Astyanax mexicanus: one gene and its partner. The main gene of each other region encodes a partner of the protein of the gene in region 2 in a complex. Links are inferred from orthologs where the notes say so. Each region holds a gene or a part of one and is shown on either strand. Other genes may lie near its edges.

Region 1 (10,411 bases), on a different chromosome or scaffold from region 2:
TTTGAACCGAATTACTAAAATAAAGTAACTTTTCAATTCCATTCTAATTTAGGTAAATAATACAGCAAAAACAGTGGAGAGAAAAAATCAAAATAAACATTAAACACTAAATTCACTGTGTGATATGAGGCATGTATTAAAGAAAAACAAAAATTCCAGACTACCTGCAGAATTACAACACTATGCCATCAGAGGAGCAAGAGCCATCAGAGTAACACATCTGACTGGAAAAGACCGTTCAACAACCAAAACCCCTGCAAGAACAACTAAAAAGTACTAACTGAACTAACAGTACTAACTGCCACACAGGAACTGAATTTGCATATTCTGTACCATACAGCAACCAGATTTCAGTATGACTAATGTGGAAACAAATTTGACTACAAAGTGCAAATGCATGAAGATACAATCTTCATGGATAAGATCCAGCTAATAGTCAGATCCATGATGTGACCCGGTGCAAACAGGGTCAACATTGTTCACCCACAATGAAACATCTCCTCCTGTTTTATTAGTTAAGGGGGTTTTTCGTGAAGTATGACCTGAACCAAAGTAATTATAGAAGAAGAGCACCTGATCTGGCATATTTAGTTGTTAAGTTCACAGTTTCCTTTACAGTTGTGTTTCTTTTTGTGTTTTTCTTGTGGTAGATTTGCTTCTATGCTTTATTATTTTTCATTGTTGGTTTCAATATTTGTCAAAACATGATTTTTATCCTTTCACATCTTTTTTTGTGTCTTTGTGATGCTGTGCATAAACATCAGGCACCTTTGAAATGACAAAGAACAAGCTTCCTGCTCCCTACAGCTCTGGCCAGTGACTGTTTACTTACTATTAAAACACTAATATTAAAATAAATACAAGCAACATTCATACAGAAAGTAGTGGCAGTATTGATACATGTAGTATTAATTATTCAGTAGTTATATCATCACATCCATAGCTTGTATAGACTAGCTCATATGATCTCAACCAGTTTCTTCAGAAGGAGAAATTTGTGTTCCTTTTAACTATATATGTTTTTCGCTGCATCTGTTCTAATGTGACCTGGTCCATGAGCACCATGCAAAGTGTTCACAGGAACAGGTTCCACCTGGCTGAAAGTCCCAGAGACCAACTGTCAGACTTGCCGACTCTCTTTTTGTTAGAGCCTCCAGCAGAGAAAAGTGACTGTGCAGTGTGACTGAAGCAAGCAGTTCTATTTTGGATGCTCAGTCTTCTACCAGAAAACAAATCTGTCCTCCCTTCTGCTACCACTCCTGATGGCTTTATTCACTGTCATCACGCTTCCTTAATGTCAGTTTTAACAGACTGATGCAAAAACATCATAAGATATTAGCTTGACACAGTTCTAATTATAATCATTATTAGCTGAAAATGACAATTATTCCATTATTACATGATATTATGTATAGTAGGTCTGGATAAAATGGTGAAATTTGTAAGATTTGCTGTGATAATTTGAGACCATTGCTGTGATAATTTTGAGAGCTCATCTGTACAACACTGAAACTGTAGGACCTACATAATTCAAGCTGTCAAGTTGGCCATGTGTAATATGTCCAATTATTTGTTGTTGCTGTTCCAATGAATAACATGCATCTCTATTTTTTGATGATTTTTAGTTTACTGCATAATTTGAACAAACTTACACTGTGCCAACATTTCCTGATGAACAGATCATATTTTTTTTTTTAATGACCTAAAATAAAATGAAATAGTTTTTCTCTCTCCTGTATAGTTGCTGTTTTGAAAACACACGTTTTTCATTGGACAGTGACAATATGAATCATTAAGGTAAATGTTTCTGTAAAGGAAATATCAAGCCTCGTACCTCCATGCTCGAGAAAAACACGGACGCAGCGTTCCTTGCCCTTAGCGGCGGAGAAGTGGAGCAGGGTCCAGCCGTTGGCGTCTCTGATCTTGGGCGAGTAGCCCTGCTCCAGCATCTTGCGTACGGTGTAGACATCGCCAGCTGCCACCGCTGCCTGGATCTGCAGCTCCTCCTGTAGCTCCGGGTTCCTTCTGCAGTGATGGTTCAGCATCCTGTCACATCTCGCAGATCTTCAGCCTCTCATGTGCCTGTTAACAGAGAGATGATATGGAATGGTCAAGGTTTTAAATTTAAATAATTTTTTTTTACCCATTATTTATTATTTTATAATCATTGAAACACTAGTATGCAAGCTCTGTGATTTAGAGTGAGGAACATTAATGAAAAGGGCATGTTGCATGATGTAAACACATTAACTGTATTTAAAATAAGGATACACCAACATGACAATTTTTAGACAAAACCAAAACTGGGGAGAAAAGAGAAAAAAAAAAAAAATAATAATAATAATAATAAATATATATATATATATATATATATATATATATATATATATATATATATATATATATATATATATATATATATATATATATTGCAGTGACTACGAGCTTTTCCTTATAATTTGTTCTCTTTATTTATTTAGCCAAACCCCAAAACTGCTTGGTGTATACTTACTGTATATTATCCCTAATTTAAACAAAAACAAATGTCTATTATGCACAATATGCTGCTGATAATTTAATAATTTAATAACTATTAAATAAAACTATTAAACATTATAATTAAAATAGTACCCCAAAATACTAAAGGACATATAAAAAGAATAAATAATATATATTTTTTTTTCTGTATCACCCAGCTCTAGTGTTAATAATGCCGAATAAATGTGTGTTGATATTAACTTAATCATGCTTTAAAATGATCCTAATTTATGCTTAAAACATCACCTAAAGCTTAGTGCATACAGTACCAGTTAAAAGTTTGGACACACCTTCCCATTTATTGTTTTTCTTTCTTTAATTGTTTTCTATGTTGTAGATTAATACTACAGACATGAAAACAATTAAAGGGCACATATGAAATTACATAGTAAATACAATCCCCTGACCTAAACCCAACTGAGATGGGTGATTAGGAATGAAAAGCATTAAATTAACTATATTATTGAGCACCTCTAGGAACTCCTTCAAGATGCCGAGAAAACTATTATAGGTGACTTTCCCTCATGAAGACAGTGAGATTAAAATACCAAGAGTGTGCAAATCAAAGATAAATGCACTGCTTAGAAAAATCTAAAGTATAAAACATATTCTGGTTTGTGTTACTCTACAGCTTTAATATAGTTTTCAATATAAAATTTACAATGTAAGACATCATAAAAAGAAAGAAATAATACACACTGAATGAGAAGAGGTATGGTACTGTACATTGAGTTGTTGTATATGAAGTAACGTTAGCTATATATACTTTCAGATAAAAAAAAAACAGAAACAAATCCCAGATTAAGACATGATTACCCTTGCTTAAAGTCTAGCAGTCCTGGAAGCCTCTTTGTATTTTGTGGCCATTATTGAGTCCAGCATTGAACTTGAGAGCTGGAGAGAAAGAGAAACCTATGGAGAAAGAAGCACCAAGACCAGAAGAACAATAACACATTAATCAATACAAGAAGCACAGAAATAACAACACAGTTCACTTCACCTCTACATACAGCCAATATAACTAGCTAGTAACTGCAACGTTATTTAAACTGTATTTTCTTAAGACTGTTGGGCTGGAAGTGTATTTAGGAAAATGGAGAAAAGGCTAAAACAGTCTGGTGCAGACAGAGCTGTGTTATTGTTGTTCTTGTCATTCGACAAGCCTGCTGTTAGCTACTGTTATCTGGGTTAGCTAGCTAGCTTTTACAGTCATTACTGTTAACTGTGCTAAACTATTAACTCTTAGATATAACACCAAACCAGCCAGCTAACCCATATAAAGAGCAATCTTTACAACACTTTATAATACAGATATAAAGACAGTAATAGCATTAAAAGCTGTAGCGTCAGCTTTACTCACTGACTGAATAGCTAACCTAGCTAACATAACTGGACAGGACGAAACTGGCACTGGCAGGAGCAAACAATGAACTGTTAACGCTAGCTAGCTTTGTTAGCACAGCTCTGTTATCTAGCTTATGCTAAGCTAGCTAAATACAAGCATATTAACTTATAAATTAGTTTGTTTACACTTTAATATCATAACTACTTTCATACTAAACCTCTCACGTGTGTTAAAAAGGCGCACAGAAGCTCTGAGTGTTAAAAAGCGCAGTTATTTCCAAGCAGAAAGCAAATAGGCTATGCTAGCTAAAGCTAGCAAGCTAGCGTTAACTTACCCCAGCAGCAGCTGCAGCGGTTCAAGCTGCTACTCCTATACAGGGCTAGCAGGTTAGCCAGCTAAGCTAACTTAGCTAACTAGCCTTTAGCCGCAGGCTGTCCACTAGCCTGTAGCCAAACCCCGCAGTCACACTCTGTCCCAACTCGCCGAAACTCCCCGAACTGCAGCCCCGGCACTCACTGGACGCTGCCGGGCAGGTCCTCACCTCCAGACCTAAGAAACAAGCTCCGGGAAAACATTTAAACAGCCGCAACTGTTCACTAAACGCAGCTAACAGGCTAACTAAGTAGCTGCCCACTTCCAGACTCCGGCTCTGGCGCCCTTAACCAATCACAGCGCAGGACAGACGAATTTGAGCTGTCAAATCAGCGCGTGCGCTCCAATAAGCGCACTTGTGCCCTAACTAGAGCACTAGACACTAAAGCGCTATGAAAGATCTGCTGTGGCAGTTGTCAGTCATATGCAGTAGGACTGTTTTACAGAACCAGTCAAATGTTTGGACACATTATTGTGTCATATGGAATACACTTTAAAAAAGTCCATCACAAATTAGTTTTCTTAATATTACATACATTGTGAGATACTAAACTGTATTTCTAAGTCATTTTTTGAGATACTGAGTCCTTTTTAAGATAGTGAATTGTTATGTTAAGAGACTGAGTCATTATTTTGAGATGCGGAGTCGTTTTTGAGATACCGAGTTGTTGTGTTGAGATACTAAGTCGCTATTTTGAGATACTAAGGTGTTATGTTGAGAGTCTAAGTCATTATTTTGAGATGTTGAGTCCTTTTTGAGACACTAAGTTATGTTGAGATACTAAGTTGTTATTTTGAGATACTAAGTTGTTATGTTAAGAGACTAAGTTATTATTTTGAGAGGTCTTGAATGTATTTATTTTTTGTAATTTTGTTTTTCTGAAATGTAAATTCGTTTTGCACTTGGTGCTATGGTATTATTTTAAAATACTAAGTCCAAAGGTGTAAAACGTATTCACATTAATTACTCTGTAGGTAGAAGTATAGATTCTAGGGTTTAAAATACTTCTATATAAATTGAAGTATCAACTGGAAATGCCAGTAAGGACAAAAGATTAGTCCACACTACAAGAGCCGATATTGCCCTACTCCACCTCCCCAAAACAAATTTTTCTAAAAGCCATAATGACTATTACATTATATAAAAATTTTAATGTTGAAACATTTGGGTGCTGTTTCAGCCATTTTAGTACAATGCAAAAATAGTAAATATTAAAGAAGCTTAGTTGGAGATTTTTTGAGTCTCTTCCACAGATCAGGATGGAAATTATTATTATTATTATTATTATTATTATTATTATTATTATAAAATACTGAGTCAATCATGATAATCTAGCAATTCAATAATTTTCCAAATCATGACAAATAGTACTAATTGAAAAAAAAAACTTAACCCATAACAAAAGCAGACCTCAAATAGGACACTCAGTAGTGAGCGAGTGTACAGGGACCGAGTTCACCAATTGGAACAGACCCGCTGCCGTAAACCAATGGTTGGTTTGCGACAGATTTCACTGCTCGAAGACTCAGCGTGTGTATCAGAGGAGAGCAGTGCAGTGTTGATTAGTGGAGTATAACTCTTGGGGGTTTAGATCCGAATTAAACAGAGGATTACTGAAGTGATTCGGCCGAAAGTTGTTGCTTTGTGTTTTCAGTTCAGTCTGTTTCATAGACTCTGTGCTGCTGGATGTGTGTTTGTTGAGATGTGCCCAGATGGCTTGAAGAAGCTTCTTCTAGCTAGCATTGGTTATCTTGAAGATCTTGGATGATGAGGTTCACCACACATCATATTCTGGTAGTGTTTAACTGGGAATGTTGACATTTTAGAAAGCCCTGGATCTCCTGGATGTTTGGTCTCCAACCATCATTCTCTGGAGATCTAGCTAGATTAGGTAGCATTCTTTCTGCAGGATTTAACTCTCAATACAATAGTTATCTACCTAACATCTTACTGAGCCAACCAAGCCCTTCTGAAGTTTATATTTAACATCAAAAGTCTGTGAGAAGCAAATCTAGCTTTCTAAGGGCAGTAGGCCTGCAACTAATGATTGTTTTGCTTTTCGATTAATATGTTGATATATACATATTTTTTCGATTAGTCAGATTAGTTCATTTGTTTGCATCCTGCTTCCTATGGCTCCTGTTGCTAGCTTTCTCTCATCCCTTTAACACAATAGAAACAGCTAAATGTTGGATTTAGTTGTCTTTAAACGTGACATGTTTTGATATTTAGTGATAAAATATGTAATCTGTCGTGTTTGGTCACTTTTGTGGACCAAGCTGAGTGTAAATTGAGTATGTGGGAAGTCATATACCCTCTCTAATTGTGTTTCTGTCCCAAGCACTTTGTGTAGTACGAAGATGTTAAAAATTAACAATTAATTGACCCTGAAATTTGGAATTTTTAGAACCAGCATTGTTGATTATGTTGACTAATCTTCGCAGCCCTAAAGTGTAGGGTATAAAAACACTGCATAATATAACTGTGTATATGTTAACAGTGTGTACGTTTTTGGTGAGTGTATAATTCCATTGAGCATGTTGAAAAGTACTTATACTGTACTGAGATTTCTTTTCCGAGTGAATTTTCAACAAAAATATCTGTTAGACAGGAACTTTATTGATCCCAGAGAAAAGTTATGAATGTTGAGCTCTCGTTAGCTTTCAGTTTTTTTTTAAAGTAACGTTGTGTAAATGAGCAGTTGTTATCCTGCTGTTGCTAAGCTAAACAGAAAATGTTGTCATAAAAAAAACCACCAGACCACTTTATTTTTAACAAGTGGAAGCATATTAATTAGAATTATTTAATAGAATATTTTGTGCTAATGCTGTCCAGCAGTGCTAGCCGGGGTTAGGAGCAGGCTACAGGCCTGTATATTTGCCTCTGAATGGCAAAAGAGCTAGCGCGGTTAGTGGCCAATGCTAATGCTGCTCCAGCAGTGCTAGCTGGGGTTAACAGCAGGCTACATGCTGATAATAATACTCACCTCTGAATGGCGAAAGGGCTAGCGTTTAGCACAGTTAGCGGCTAATGCTAAAACTGCTTGAGCACTAAACTAAGGCTCCTGTATAATACTGTACTTTAGCGGAGTGGCTTTACTGCTCCTTAATACCTCAGTGATATAATTTATACATAAGGCGCACTTGATTATAAGGTGCACAGGCAATTTTTGGGAAAATTAAAGGATTTTAAGTATGTCATCAATAATAGTTCAAGCAGACAATTATATATAACAGTATCCAACCCATTTCATAGTTCAGAAAAGAACAATGGAAAACATTGAACATTTATTGTTAACAGATCACTACTAGCATGGGATCAGTAAGCCTAGCCTGCATCTGAAACCGGTACCACATGGACATGGATGATCCTTATTCAGACCTGCAGGCTGTGTTCCAGATCTTCCAGGCCGGGGTCATTCCTGGAACATCTAGTGAAGAGCTGGCAGGCAGAGTTTTCTCAGCCCTAAAGCGCACTTTACAACCTTTAAGCCAATCTCCACTCAGCGCTGAAGGTCCAGACGTGGACTCGGCATGCCTGTGTCTGACCCTCATTGGGAAAATGATTGCTGGACTGTCAGGAAACAGTTTGCCACAGAATGCCAGAACCTTCTACAGAGATGTCCTGAAGAAAGTGTTCACATCTGCAGATCTGATGTCGGAGCTTGTAAGTTATTCTATGTGTTTTACGAAAAAAAAGAATATAATTAAAAAGTGACTTTACTAGGCATTTATTTCTTATATTGTTTGACTATGGCTTATAGCCAATGAAAACCCAAAAATCAGTGTCTCAGAAAATGAGAATATTATTGGTACTTTTGGCAGCGTGGGCAAAGTCCTGTTGGCAAATGAAATCCATATCTCCATACAAGTTTTCAGCAGAAGTAAGCATAAAGTGCTGTAAGTTTTTCCAGGAAATTATTGCGCTGACTTTGGACTTGATTTAACACTGTGGACCAACACCAGCAGATGACATGTCTCTCCAAACCATCACTGATCATTAGTAAATTTTGCATTTCATTTAGAAATCAAGTGATCAGAGTCTGAAGAAAGAGTGGAGAGCATTTTATGCTTCCTTCTGCTGAAAACTTGTATGAAGATATGGATTTTATTTTCCAGCAGGACTGATGATGGCAAGCTGCATGACCGGGATTCGAACCACCAATCATAATGGCAGCGCATAGCCTGCTGGACCACACTGCTCCCCTCCATCAAGTTTAACAGTGAGATCAAGCAGGTTTTGGGTTATGACTATGATCCAATATTTTCCGTTGACTGTTTGTTGCAGATGTCTCTCTATAATTGTGGGGACAGACTTTTATCCCATTTGACCGCAAAGTGTGTCTCATCCTTTGTCATCGATGACACCTGTGCCTATGTAAGTAGTCAGTTGCGACTTAAAACCTGGCAGTAGCTTTAACCAGAAGCAAATCTTCCTACAATGACTTCCTGTGACAGTTAAGGCAGAACAGGTCTTCACTGGTTTGACATATAAAAGTGTGTTCTTGTTCTTTGCAGGGTGATGTGGATGCTGTTTGGACAGCAGCCTGTGCTGAAACATTTGGTTCTTCACCTCCTGGATGCACACTGGACACAAGCCTGTGGTCACTAACAGAGGTGATCAAAGGAATCCTAAGAGGAGAGTGTGCCAACAAACCAGGTACTATAGAGCTCTCACAGAAACACAATCAGACCCAGCTTCCCAAAAGTTTATATTAAAGATAGCTACAATAGTGAGTGTGAAGTTCGCTCTGACTGTTAAAGACTCATTTGGCATGATTGCAGATAAAACAAAGATTAGATCAGGGATGCAGAAGAGCGGCTGAAGGCTTTATCTGTATCTAGAATATGTTTTATATTTTAGTTTCTTCAAAGCAGGCATTTCTTGCTTAGACAGCAATTTGCACAGCTTTATAAGATAGAAGCACTTGGAATGGCTTTCAGTTAACAGCTGCGCCGAATATGTTAAGGGTTAATTACTTGAATTTATTGTATAGCTTGTTTTAACAAAGCTAACACGCAGACTACAATCTAATATACTCACCTTTGAATGATAAAAGAGCTAGCACTGCGGTTAGCGGCTAATGCTAAAGCTGCTGCACCCAGCCTTAGTGCTGGAGAAACTTGACTGAAAACTCACTCTTATATCGCTGTACTTACAACCTGACTGGTAAAATTCTTACATAAGGCACACCTGGTTAATTTTTTTAAGGCACACTCAATTTTTGGAAAGATTAAAGGATTTTAAGTGCGCCGTAGTCTGAAAAATATGGTAATCTGGCAGAAATTTGTGCTGCTTTGTTACATAATACAATCAAAATTTTGATCATTTTCTCCTCAGAGATTTTGAGGAAACTTCTCGCTGGTTTTGAAGAAGTTCTCACTTCCTTGTTTTTCAAGATGCTCCTTCATGACGCCTTTGAAAATTCTCAGGTGGCAGAGAACATCACTGATCTGGATGTCACTGTATCTACTTTCATGGACCTCCTGGAAGCTCTCTGTGCTGCGAGGCCGAGGTACGGCGTTTGCTCCACAGTTCAGAGACTGATGTTCCTCCACAGCTCAGTGCTGCTCCGTCTGATGGACTCCTGCCTGGGGTACTTTGTGAAGAAGCGAGTGCTGCTGTTACTGAAGAGGACAGTGGTTCAGAGGCCTGGAGAAGACTGGGCTTTAGGTGATCGTCACTCTGCGCTGCAGGAGGACGAGTTCCTGGCTGGTGACATGCTTGTGTTGGCGGATGCTGTTCTGCAGGAGGTGGCGGCTGGTTGGTTTAGGCGGATGTGGGTCAAACCCCAGCCCAGTTTCTTGGGTGGGAACAGGCAGAAGTTTCCGGAGGGTGAGGGGAAAGATGTAGTGATGCTGAGAGCTACTAGCCTCATCCTGATCAAGAGTCTGCAGATTAGAACACAACATGCTGGCACTGAAGGTAATCATAATCTGTTTATTTTTATATATACTTAATATTACTGCAGTTTAGTATTTCTCAGCACTGTAATTAATCATTAATCATTAAAAAGTTACTTTATTTCAGTAATTCAGTTCAAAATGTGAAACTCATATATTATATAGATGTATTAAACACAGAGTGATCTATTTTAAGCACTTATTTATTTTATTGTTGATGATGATTATGGCTTACAGCCAATGAAAACCCAA
Region 2 (9,957 bases):
AGCTGGGTGGATTATGAAGTGCATCCGAACCTTTGGATCAGTGAACTGTAAAATACCTGCTGTTTTACTAATACACACTGATAGAGCTGTCTGTCTGGAGAAAAGCCATCCACCCCCTCCCTCCCACACTACAAATCCTCTCCTAAACCTGTGAGAGGAACACTAACACTCACTCCAGCACTGTCATCCCTCACACTTTCAGCAGAGGATCACACTGAGAGAGAGAGAGAGATCATGACAGTAAGGGAGGTCTAAGACCTAACTTTAGAAGCAGCATTAAAATAAATACCCGAACTACCAGAAATGTTAACTTCAGGGCTAAAACCAGAGCTAACATTAAAGCTACAGGGCTAACACTAATGCTAGTATAGAGCTAACAGTTACGCTAACATTAAAGAGCTAACATTAAAGCTACAGAGCCAATACTAGTGTTAGAGTAGAGCTAACATTAGTGCTAACATTAAAGCTACAAAGCTAACACTAGTGTTAGAGTAGAGCTAAGAGTAGTGCTAACATTAAAGAGCTAACATTAAGGCTACAGAGCTAACACTAGTGTTAGAGTAGAGTTAAGAGTAGTGCTAACATTGAACAGCTAACATTAAAGCTACAGGGCTAACACTATTGCTAATGTAGAGCTAACAGTTAAGCTAACATTAAAGAGCTAACATTAAAGAGCTAACATTAAAGCTACAGAGCCGATACTAGTGTTAGAGTAGAGCTAACATTAGTGCTAACATTAAAGCTACAAAGGTAACACTAGTGTTAGAGCAGAGCTAAGAGTAATGCTAACATTAAAGAGCTAACATTAAGGCTACAGAGCCAACACTAGTGTTAGAGTAGAGCTAAGAGTAGTGCTAACATTAAGGCTACAGAGCCAACACTAGTGTTAGAGTAGAGCTAAGAGTAGTGCTAACATTAAAGCTACAGAGTTAACACTAATGCTGGAGTAGAGCTCACAGTAGAGCTAACATTAAAGCTACAAAGCTAACACTAGTGTTAGAGTAGAGCTAAGATTAAAAACCCACTAAACATTGATTTCTAAAACTTTATAAATTTGAACTTGTTTTCTTTGCGTTATTTGAGGTCTGAAAGCTCTGCATCTTTTTTGTTATTTCAGCCATTTCTCATTTTCCACAAATAAATGCTCTAAAGGACAATATTTATATTTGGAATTTGGGAGAAATGTTGTCCGTAGTTTATAGAATAAAACGAAAATGTTCATTTTAATCAAACATATACCTATAAATAGCAAAATCAGAGAAACTGATTCAGAAAACTGAAGTGGTCTCTTATTTTTTTCCAGAGCTGTTAATATCACTGGTTACTCTTCAGACATCCAATTTTCTTTGAACATTACAGCATCTGACCTCACAACAGATTGTGATGAACCTGAACTGGTCTTGCTGATCACTGATCACACCTTTTAAGTGCAGAGTTACTGGTGAAAAGTGTCTCATGCACAGGGTTCTCCAGAGGGAGGTGGAGTGTGTGGAGAAGTGAGTCAAAGACTCCATAACCTACTTTCCTGCAGAGAATGGTTCCTCAGAGGCTCGTGAGCGTCACACAACAGCCAGTTATTTCAGGATTTAGCTCTATTTCCAGCCCTCAGGTTCGCTGATGCTTACAAACCAGCGGAACACGAAACAATTCAGGGCTGGAGCATCAAGAGAGCCTCAACCTGGAGCCTCCGCAACCTTACAAAACCATCAGCTGCTTTAATAATACACGACTGCCCAAGCTCCTATACATCTTAGATCATCACCAGCTTTTTTGTTGGATGTTATCACCACGCCAATGCACACAACTAAATGACATGAAAGTATATGTGTTCATAATGTGATTTTTAATAATTTTCTTTTTTATGTTTTCCCACTTATGATATTTTACAAGAACAATTTTCACTTTTTTTTAAATACAGTTCTATCATTATTACACTTAACAGCATGTTTTCCCACTATCACATTTGTGTTTTTAGGTGATAAATGATAACATGATAACATTTTCCAGATTTTCCCAGCGTGATAACATTTTCCATCTTGCCACATTTGTTATTTGATGGAACTGTCACATACATTTACATGTGATATCATGTTACCATATTATTTGAAATTCATAATTTTCAACATTAAAATGTCCATATTAAAATTTTCCATATTATGATTTTTTCTTAAAAAAAATATGATAACATTTGCCATTACTTTTTCACATATAATCACATCCTCCCACAATTGCAGTTGATACCATTTCCCCCACATTTCATGTGATAACCTTTAATAATATAATAAGCAGTAAACAGTAATATTTTTGAAAATGTTGATGTATCAACATTTGTTCACATTTTCTGTGTAATATTATGTCCCATAAATTTCCATGTGATCCAATTTCCCCTTATGATAACATCTTTATCATATTTTCCATGTGATGGCATTTTCCCACATTTTTTTTTCACGCACAAACATTTTTTCACATTTTCCATGTGATAGCATTTTCCTACTTTTTTTCCACATTATAACATTTCCTCACATTTTCTATGTGATGGCTTTTTTCCCACTTTTTTCACATGATAACATTTCCTCACATTTTTATGTGATGGCATTTTTCCATTTTTTTCACACAATAACATTTCTTCATATTTTTCATGTAATGGCATTTTCCTACTTTTTCCACACAATAATTTTTTTTCTCATTTTCCATGTGATGGCATTTTCCCACTTTTTTCCACATTATTAAATTTCCTCACATTTGTATGTGATGACATTTTCCCACTTTTTTCCACATGGTAATATTTCCTCACACTTTCTTTGTGATGGCATTTTGCCAGTTGTTCCCCATATTTTTGAAACATTTTTTATTTTTCATGTGATAACATGTTGCATGAATTTCCCTACATATGATAACAAGTTTTCAGATTTGTCATTTGATGGCATTTCTCCACAATTTTTCATGTGATTACACTTCACCATATTATTTCCATGTGAAAATATTTTAACTGTGATAAAAGTTTGTTTATTTTTTTTAAGTGATATTTGCCAACCTTTTTTTCAATTTGGGGCATATCTTCATATTTCCTCATCATTTTTTGAATGTGGTAACATTTCCCGATTGCCCATATGCAAAAATAATTTCTACATTTTATCATGTGTTTCCATGAACTCCCAGTCTTATTCCCACCCAACTCCGCACTCACACTTCTGAAACCGAAACTACGCCCATGTAGAAGAGTCTTACTAAAGCCCTGGTCTCTCCCACACGTCTCTGTACAGGTTTCAGCACGTCCCCCTCTCCTTAATGCTAACCGTATGCTGCAGTACTAACGTTCCTGTAGAGCTGAAGAGGATTCTGGGAGACAGGGCAAGACACGCTGATGAAACCTAAGCACCTGCTTTATTACACAGGTCTGGCTGTGATGCAGAGAACATGTACTGAACTCATAAATGGCTGTAATGTGGGCGTGCTATTTACCCACAATCCATGAAACTCTGCTTTGGTCGCAGATTTACTGACTTCATTACTCAACAGCAGCTATAATTACTCACAAAAGAGCAGAAAGCGTTTGTAGCAGCTGTGTTCCTTACTGTCGGTACTCAAACATGCTTACTAAAAGTCTCAGATACTGGAGGACTGTGCTAATTAGATTAATCACAATTAATCTCTAGAGTAATCACAATTGAATCTTTTGAAATCTAAGATTATCTGATCTAATCTAATCTTATGTATGTTACAGACTAAATTAAAATGACTCTGCATTTAGCTATCATATGCAACATAAAATACAATTATAAAACCATTTTTGGGACCACAGCACAGATTTTTGCTTTTTAAATGCGCTTTGGCTTAGAGAAAACAGCGGAATTTCTGGGCCATATTGACACATGATTACTTTTAGTATAAAACATCTTAAACTTACATCTGTGGATTACAAGGCGAACACTCTGAAAGTGCCCATCCATTGGTTTCTAATACAAGATCATAGCTGTTGTTAATGCAGTACCACCTGAGGGTCCGAAGATCACCAGCATCTAGTATTGACTGTCTGCCTTGTTTCTTCTGCACAGGAATTTATCCATTTTTTTCTTAATCTTTTGAAGGTATTATGTACTGTATATGACAAAATTTTACTCTGAGTATTTTTTTTTTGCCCCACAATTTAGAAATTTTTTTTTTACAGATTAGTGAACCTCTGCCCATCTTTGCTTCTGAGAGACTCTGCCACTTTTTGCTCTTTTTTATACCCAGTGAAAAAGCTAGTTGCTGTCTTAATGCAGCTCTTTTTATTGGTACCACTTACTATTCCATTTTTTTGATTCACTGCTTTAATCAAGTTTCTAAATGAGTATATATTTTTAATGAAATGGTAAAATGTCTCACTTTCAACATCTAAAACAATTTCTCACAAAAGTGAGTATACCCCTCACATTTTCATAAATATTGTATTACATCTTTTTTATGGGACAACACTAAAGATATGACACTTAAATACAATGTAAAGTAGTGAGTATAAAGCTTGTGTAAGCTGTAGAAGTTTAACATGGCACCTCATGGCAAAGAACTCTCTGAGGATCTGAAAAAAATAATTGTTGCTCTACCTAAAGATGGCCTAGGCTATAAAAAACATTGCTAACACCCTAAAAATGAGAAACAGCACTTTGGCCAAGACCATGAAGTGGTTTAACAGGACAGTTTTCACGCAGAACAGGCCCAAGCTATTCGGTCGACCAAAGAAGAATGTTGGCTGATTGGATCCTAATTTTATTTATATTTATTTACACTTTACAAAAAGTGATCCTACTTTTTGATTTTTTAAAATATTTGTATGTTATCTGTTAAATTCAGTAAATACTCATTAAAAATTTATTAAAACATTCAGAAATGTGCTTTTGCCAAGAATGATGATTTATAATAGCATTTACAGCATTTAAAATAAATACAGCTGTGCCCAAACATCTGTATTCAGCTGTATAGCTATAGACTCCACAGTGTAGTAGAGACTGCTATAATGTATTTGACCTTCCATAAATATCCTTATCTATTAAAGTAATGAAAGAATTAATAGGGTTACTACAGCACAGTCAGCACAGCTGGAGAATAGAGTGAATATTGGAGTTCTTACCTGAGGCTGTAGTGTTCCTGAGTGAATCCTGTGTAAGAGCACTCCGTCTCAGCGAGGCTGTCCTCCTCAGGTGAGTCGAGCTGTAGAACAAACACTCCTCCTCTCCCTCTCTCTCTTTCTCTCTCTCTCGCCCCACTTTACTCTCTCACTCTACCTCTCTCTTTCACCTCCTTTATCACACAGCCCTCCTCCCTTCTGCTTAATGTTCTCCAGCTCTCTTCCCTCTATTTACCTCTCTCTTGTCTTTTGAAGGTTTTTAGTATATAAACGAGACCTTTAAAATAAAAAATAAAAATGTGTTTCATTCTCTAATATTTTGCAGCATGTTTTATACAAAACGTTTTGTGATAGCTCACAGGTTATTTCAGTGTTTTTAGAACATTTTTTGTCTAAAATGTTTATTTTATTTTGTTTAGACTGTCCACAGTTTTATGATCATCTATATATATTTACAGCTGTTGACAAAAATCAGTTTCTGAATCAGTTTCTCTGATTTTGCTATTTATAGGTGTATGTTTGAGTAAAATGAACATTGTTGTTTTATTCTATAAACTAAGGACAACAATTCTCCCAAATTCCAAAGAAAAATATTGTTATTTAGAGCATTTATTTGCAGAAAATGAGAAATGGCTGAAGTAACAAAAAAGCAGAGCTTTCAGACTTCAAATTGTGCAAAGAAAACAAGTTTATCATCATAAAGTTTTAAGAGTTCAGAAATCAATATTTGGTGGAATAACCCTGGTTTTTAATCACAGTTTTCATGCATCTTGGCATGTTTTCCTCCACCAGTCTCACATACTGCTTTTAGACAACTTTATGCCATTCCTGGTGCAAAATGTACATGGTCTACCACTTTCTGGCTGAGATGCACTAATAAAAGCACTGACAGTTACCTGTAGAATTTTTAATAGTAAAGATATTTCCCAATATATATTTCATGCATCCTACCTGTAACAACAGACACTCACAGATACCAATCAGTCAATTTATTAACTTATATTAGACTTATAGGGTTAGACTTATGGGGGTAGCCAGAGACAGGCAGGGTCAATAACAAAATGGCAGCAATCATACATGGGGTAATCCAAACAGATAAAGGGCTAGACAAAAAGAGTAGTCTGAACTACATAAATAGGTTTGGCAATGGTAAAAAAAAAAATGGAAAGGGCAAGAGAAAAGAATAAAAAAAAGAAAAAGAAAACTGGGTCAGTAACAATATAGAATGAAAAAATAAATGCTTGGTTTCACTGAAAAACTACAATGAATACAGAAACAGGGTGGTATATATATTCCTAAGACAGGCAGGTGTGAAAAATCAGAAGCTCGGGGAGAAGGAACTCCGTAGCAACACGTGATCAGCATAGTCAGGAAAGCCAGGTGAGTCCGAGTGCATGCAGGGAATTGGAGTCTTTGTTGTTAAGTTCAGAGTCCAGAGGATGCAGACTGACATTGTCAGGACTGACACTATTATAGTCCCACGCTGGCCATGGAAGAGATTGGAATATAATGTATTTTATTAGATATCAATATAAAGTAAATGATAGTCACTCCTATTAAAAGTTTAAAATCAACTTTTTGTTTCTAATCAACTCATAAATGTTCACAGTTCTTCAGGTATCTTCTTCTCTCCAGAAGTGATTAAAAGTCATGTCTTGCCCTTGGAGTCACCTGTCTTCTTTGCGACAGTGTATTGACAGTAAAGTGAGATGATACCTCAGCTTCCCAGGGGTGGTGGATAATGGGGCCATTCCGGCCTGGGCACACAGTGTCATCCGTTACCACTCTGACCTCCAGATAGATCTGCTTCACACTGTGTTCTTTCCAACCAGCCATGTCCTTGGGCAAGGATGGATAAGTCAGCTTGGTGTAATGTGACGTCTCACACAGTCCAGTTCAGTCTAAGTTCACTTTCATTACTCGTCTGCTGCTGGGTTTGGGGTCGTTAGTCAGACATATGCCTCACAGAGGAGATCTGCAGCCAGACTCTACTGGGAGGGAAAACTCCAGCTCAGCATTAGATTCTGCTGATAACTGGTTTCAGAAGGTCTTAGCTGGTCTACATTTTTAGGCCATTTTCTTATCAACTTCCTTGACCATGTAGGAGCACTATGTAGTTCTATGTATATTTACAGACTGTATTGCTTATGTTTTCCTTTTTTCACCCAATTCCTCAATGGTCAGGACCCAACAGGACCACCACAGAGCCACAGAGAAGCTATTATTTGGGTAATGGGTCTCCCATTCTCAGTACTGCATTGACTATACTAACATGGTGGTGGTAGCAGTGCTGCTGGAGGTTTTAAACATGGTTAACCCTAACTTTCCACTCTAGTAGATACTCCAACCTTGCTGGTCCACCATTATTAGATTATTTGGGTGTTGGGTCATTTACAGCACCTCCGTAATTCTGACATGATGGTGGTGTGTTAGTGTGTGTTGCACTGGTTCAAGGCATCATGACTAATTTGGCACCATTTGCTTAATACCAGGCATATGTTAAATGGGTATAATGCACTTTTATCATTGATCTGTGGAGCTCAAGTGATCCACACAAAACTTTTGGGATAAATTGGGAAGTTGAGGTTGGATCAGTTAAGGTGAGGAACATCCAAAACTCTCACCTCACTAATGCTTGTGGAGCTGAATGCAATCAAATCCTCACAGCAATGCGCCAAAATCTGGTACAAAGTCTTCCACGGAAACTTTAAACTTAATTTGATGTCTGCCCACCTGTTGCAACTATAAAAACTTTAACTTTAATGGGAAGGCTTTCCACAAGGTTTAGTAGTGTGTTTATGTGCATTTCTGACCATTCTTTCAGAAGCGCATTTGTGAGGTCAGACACTGATGTTGGGCGAGAAGCCTGGATCACACTGTTTGCTATAATTCTTTTTAAAGCATTGAGAGTCTTTCATTGGAACTCATTAAAGGAGGACTCTGGTGTAAAATGGACTTTTGGTTTAGTAAAACATGATAAAAAAGTACTTACCTGTGAGGAATAGCACACCTCTGTTCTCCCACCACGTTCCGAGACACAGAAATTTTAACAGTTTGTCCAAACACCCTTCAGACTGGGTGACACCGGGCATAATTTGCCCCAATAAATCGCTTTTTCCACCAGACTAAAAGTAGCTCTACATCTCCTTGCTAGAATCTAGAGAGCCCTGATATTTAAAATGAGGCATTAATAACTTAAAAAGTGCACAAGAAGCTTATTAAAAAACACTATTTACTTTATATATTTACTATATATTTTTACTACAACGTTAGCTTCAGCTTCATGCGCCAACATCACTGTACTGATAATAACATGAACATATATATACATAGACTCTGCATTGCCGGCCTCCTGGTGCCGCCCCTCTGCCAAAATTCTTTTGGCAACCGCTTAACCCAGACTCGTCCATCAGACTGCCTGACAGAGGAGTGTCATTCTACAAAATCAACAACTATGTCTCCACCATGTCTCTACTGTTTTAAATCTCTAAATTTTTACAGCAATGCTCCAAAATCTGGTACAAAACCTTCCATGAAAACTTTGATTTCAGAAAAAAACATGAATGTGCAGGTGTCCCAGTATTTTTGACCATATTGTGAAGGTACAGTAAGGATGGTAATACCAGCATATTGTCATTTCTCTTACTTGAACTGACAGTTCTTACAGTTCACTTCATAAAAATCTCAGAAAATATTAAAATGAATAAATTATAAGCTCTATATTTTTGCCTTCTTTTCTTTCCTGCTTTTTCCCTCTCTCTCTCTCTCTCTGTTATTCAGGTTGGCTATTCTGAATCTGCAGGTCAGATGAATAAATGATAAATGCAGATGGATGAGTTTTATTTAAAAGTCAGCGCAGGTTAAAGGTGAGAGAGAGAGAGATGCTAGCAACAGATGCAGCATAATCACAGAGTTATTGGCACCATAAGCAACATTCTGTATGAACTTTTTCACAAAATAGCAGTTTTAGAATCATAATGATGCTTCACTGATACATAATAATATGTAATAGTGCCTTTGTCATTCCTGATCAAAATTCTAATGCTGGAACTGCACTATGGAACCATCTATGGTGGCGATGCACATGTTTTCTCTCTCTGTAACTAAGTACTAATTAGCTGACTCCGCCCATTATTACATGGACTATATATACTGGGACTCTTGCTTAGTTTAGTTAAGAGATAATGCCACACCAGTGCCTTATTAAGTAGTTTTCTAAAGTGTTTGTTATTCCTGTTTTTTTATTTAATCCTTGCCTGTCCTTGACTAGGATTTTTGCCTTGTGATCTATTTCTGATTTTGAACTCTTACAAATTACAATTAGAATTTACTGCGGTGGAGTAAAAGTGAATTACACTCCACAACTGTAGAGGGAGCCCAAGAGAAAACAAAACAAAACAAAACAAACAATTCTTATTAGTATTAGTATAAATATTTACTACTCCTGGTTGCCCTCTATAAAATAAGCCACACGCCAACCCCTGCCCACTTTACTCTGATTGGCTGTACCCCAACACCTTTTTGACAGTGGTCTGTTTCAATGAAAGACGGTAAATAAGACAGAGCCCTGTATAGGCTGTTCAGTTTCATATTTACCTCAAACAAAAAAACTATTTTTAATACATACTGAAATCATTACAGCTGTACATGTCACAGATGATGAGGTGAGGTGTGTGAGAGTGTTAGCTCCGAGTGGCAGAATGGGGTGTGTGGGTGTGTGCGTGTGTGGTGGGGTTGTTCAGGCAGAAACCTGTAAAGTCAAACAGGTACGCTCTGTTACAACACCACTGTAGCCTTTGATCAATTATGAAACAAAGACAAGCCCAGACAGAACTGAAAATGTTGCGTTC

The links. Proteins that work in one complex are often made in the same cells at the same time.
Region 1: the proteins of lzts1 (region 2) and asb7 are in contact, whole or in part, in a crystal structure (PDB 8Y1U), measured with the Homo sapiens proteins. The link is inferred for Astyanax mexicanus from reciprocal best matches to the Homo sapiens genes LZTS1 and ASB7. Residues at the interface, in NP_001349813.1 of Homo sapiens: Arg346, Glu348, Leu349, Leu352, Met353, Glu355, Gln356, Leu358, Leu359, Glu360, Lys362, Leu363, Arg364, Ser365, Tyr366; in NP_937886.1 of Homo sapiens: Asn46, Trp48, Ala56, Ile79, Phe82, Tyr87, Met90, His91, Asp116, Trp118, Val123, His126, Tyr127, Ser147, Lys149, Thr151, Gln155, Leu156, Ile159, Arg160, Phe182, Arg185, Tyr186, Ile189, Lys190, Arg210, Leu220, Leu223.

The regions. Positions count from the first base shown.
Region 1 is NC_064423.1:10,095,558-10,105,968, forward strand, and holds the start of asb7 (ankyrin repeat and SOCS box protein 7), read right to left. Parts: upstream 4,550-10,411; 5' UTR 4,218-4,549; intron 3,451-4,217; 5' UTR 3,355-3,450; intron 2,083-3,354; 5' UTR 2,046-2,082; coding exon 1,835-2,045; intron 1-1,834. Other genes in the region: lins1 (protein Lines homolog 1), read left to right, coding at 7,611-7,922, 8,544-8,633, 8,774-8,915, 9,597-10,181. UniProt on the Homo sapiens protein: Probable substrate-recognition component of a SCF-like ECS (Elongin-Cullin-SOCS-box protein) E3 ubiquitin-protein ligase complex which mediates the ubiquitination and subsequent proteasomal degradation of target proteins.
Region 2 is NC_064419.1:33,060,427-33,070,383, reverse strand, and holds the start of lzts1 (leucine zipper putative tumor suppressor 1), read right to left. Parts: upstream 5,211-9,957; 5' UTR 5,111-5,210; intron 1-5,110. UniProt on the Homo sapiens protein: Involved in the regulation of cell growth. May stabilize the active CDC2-cyclin B1 complex and thereby contribute to the regulation of the cell cycle and the prevention of uncontrolled cell proliferation. May act as a tumor suppressor.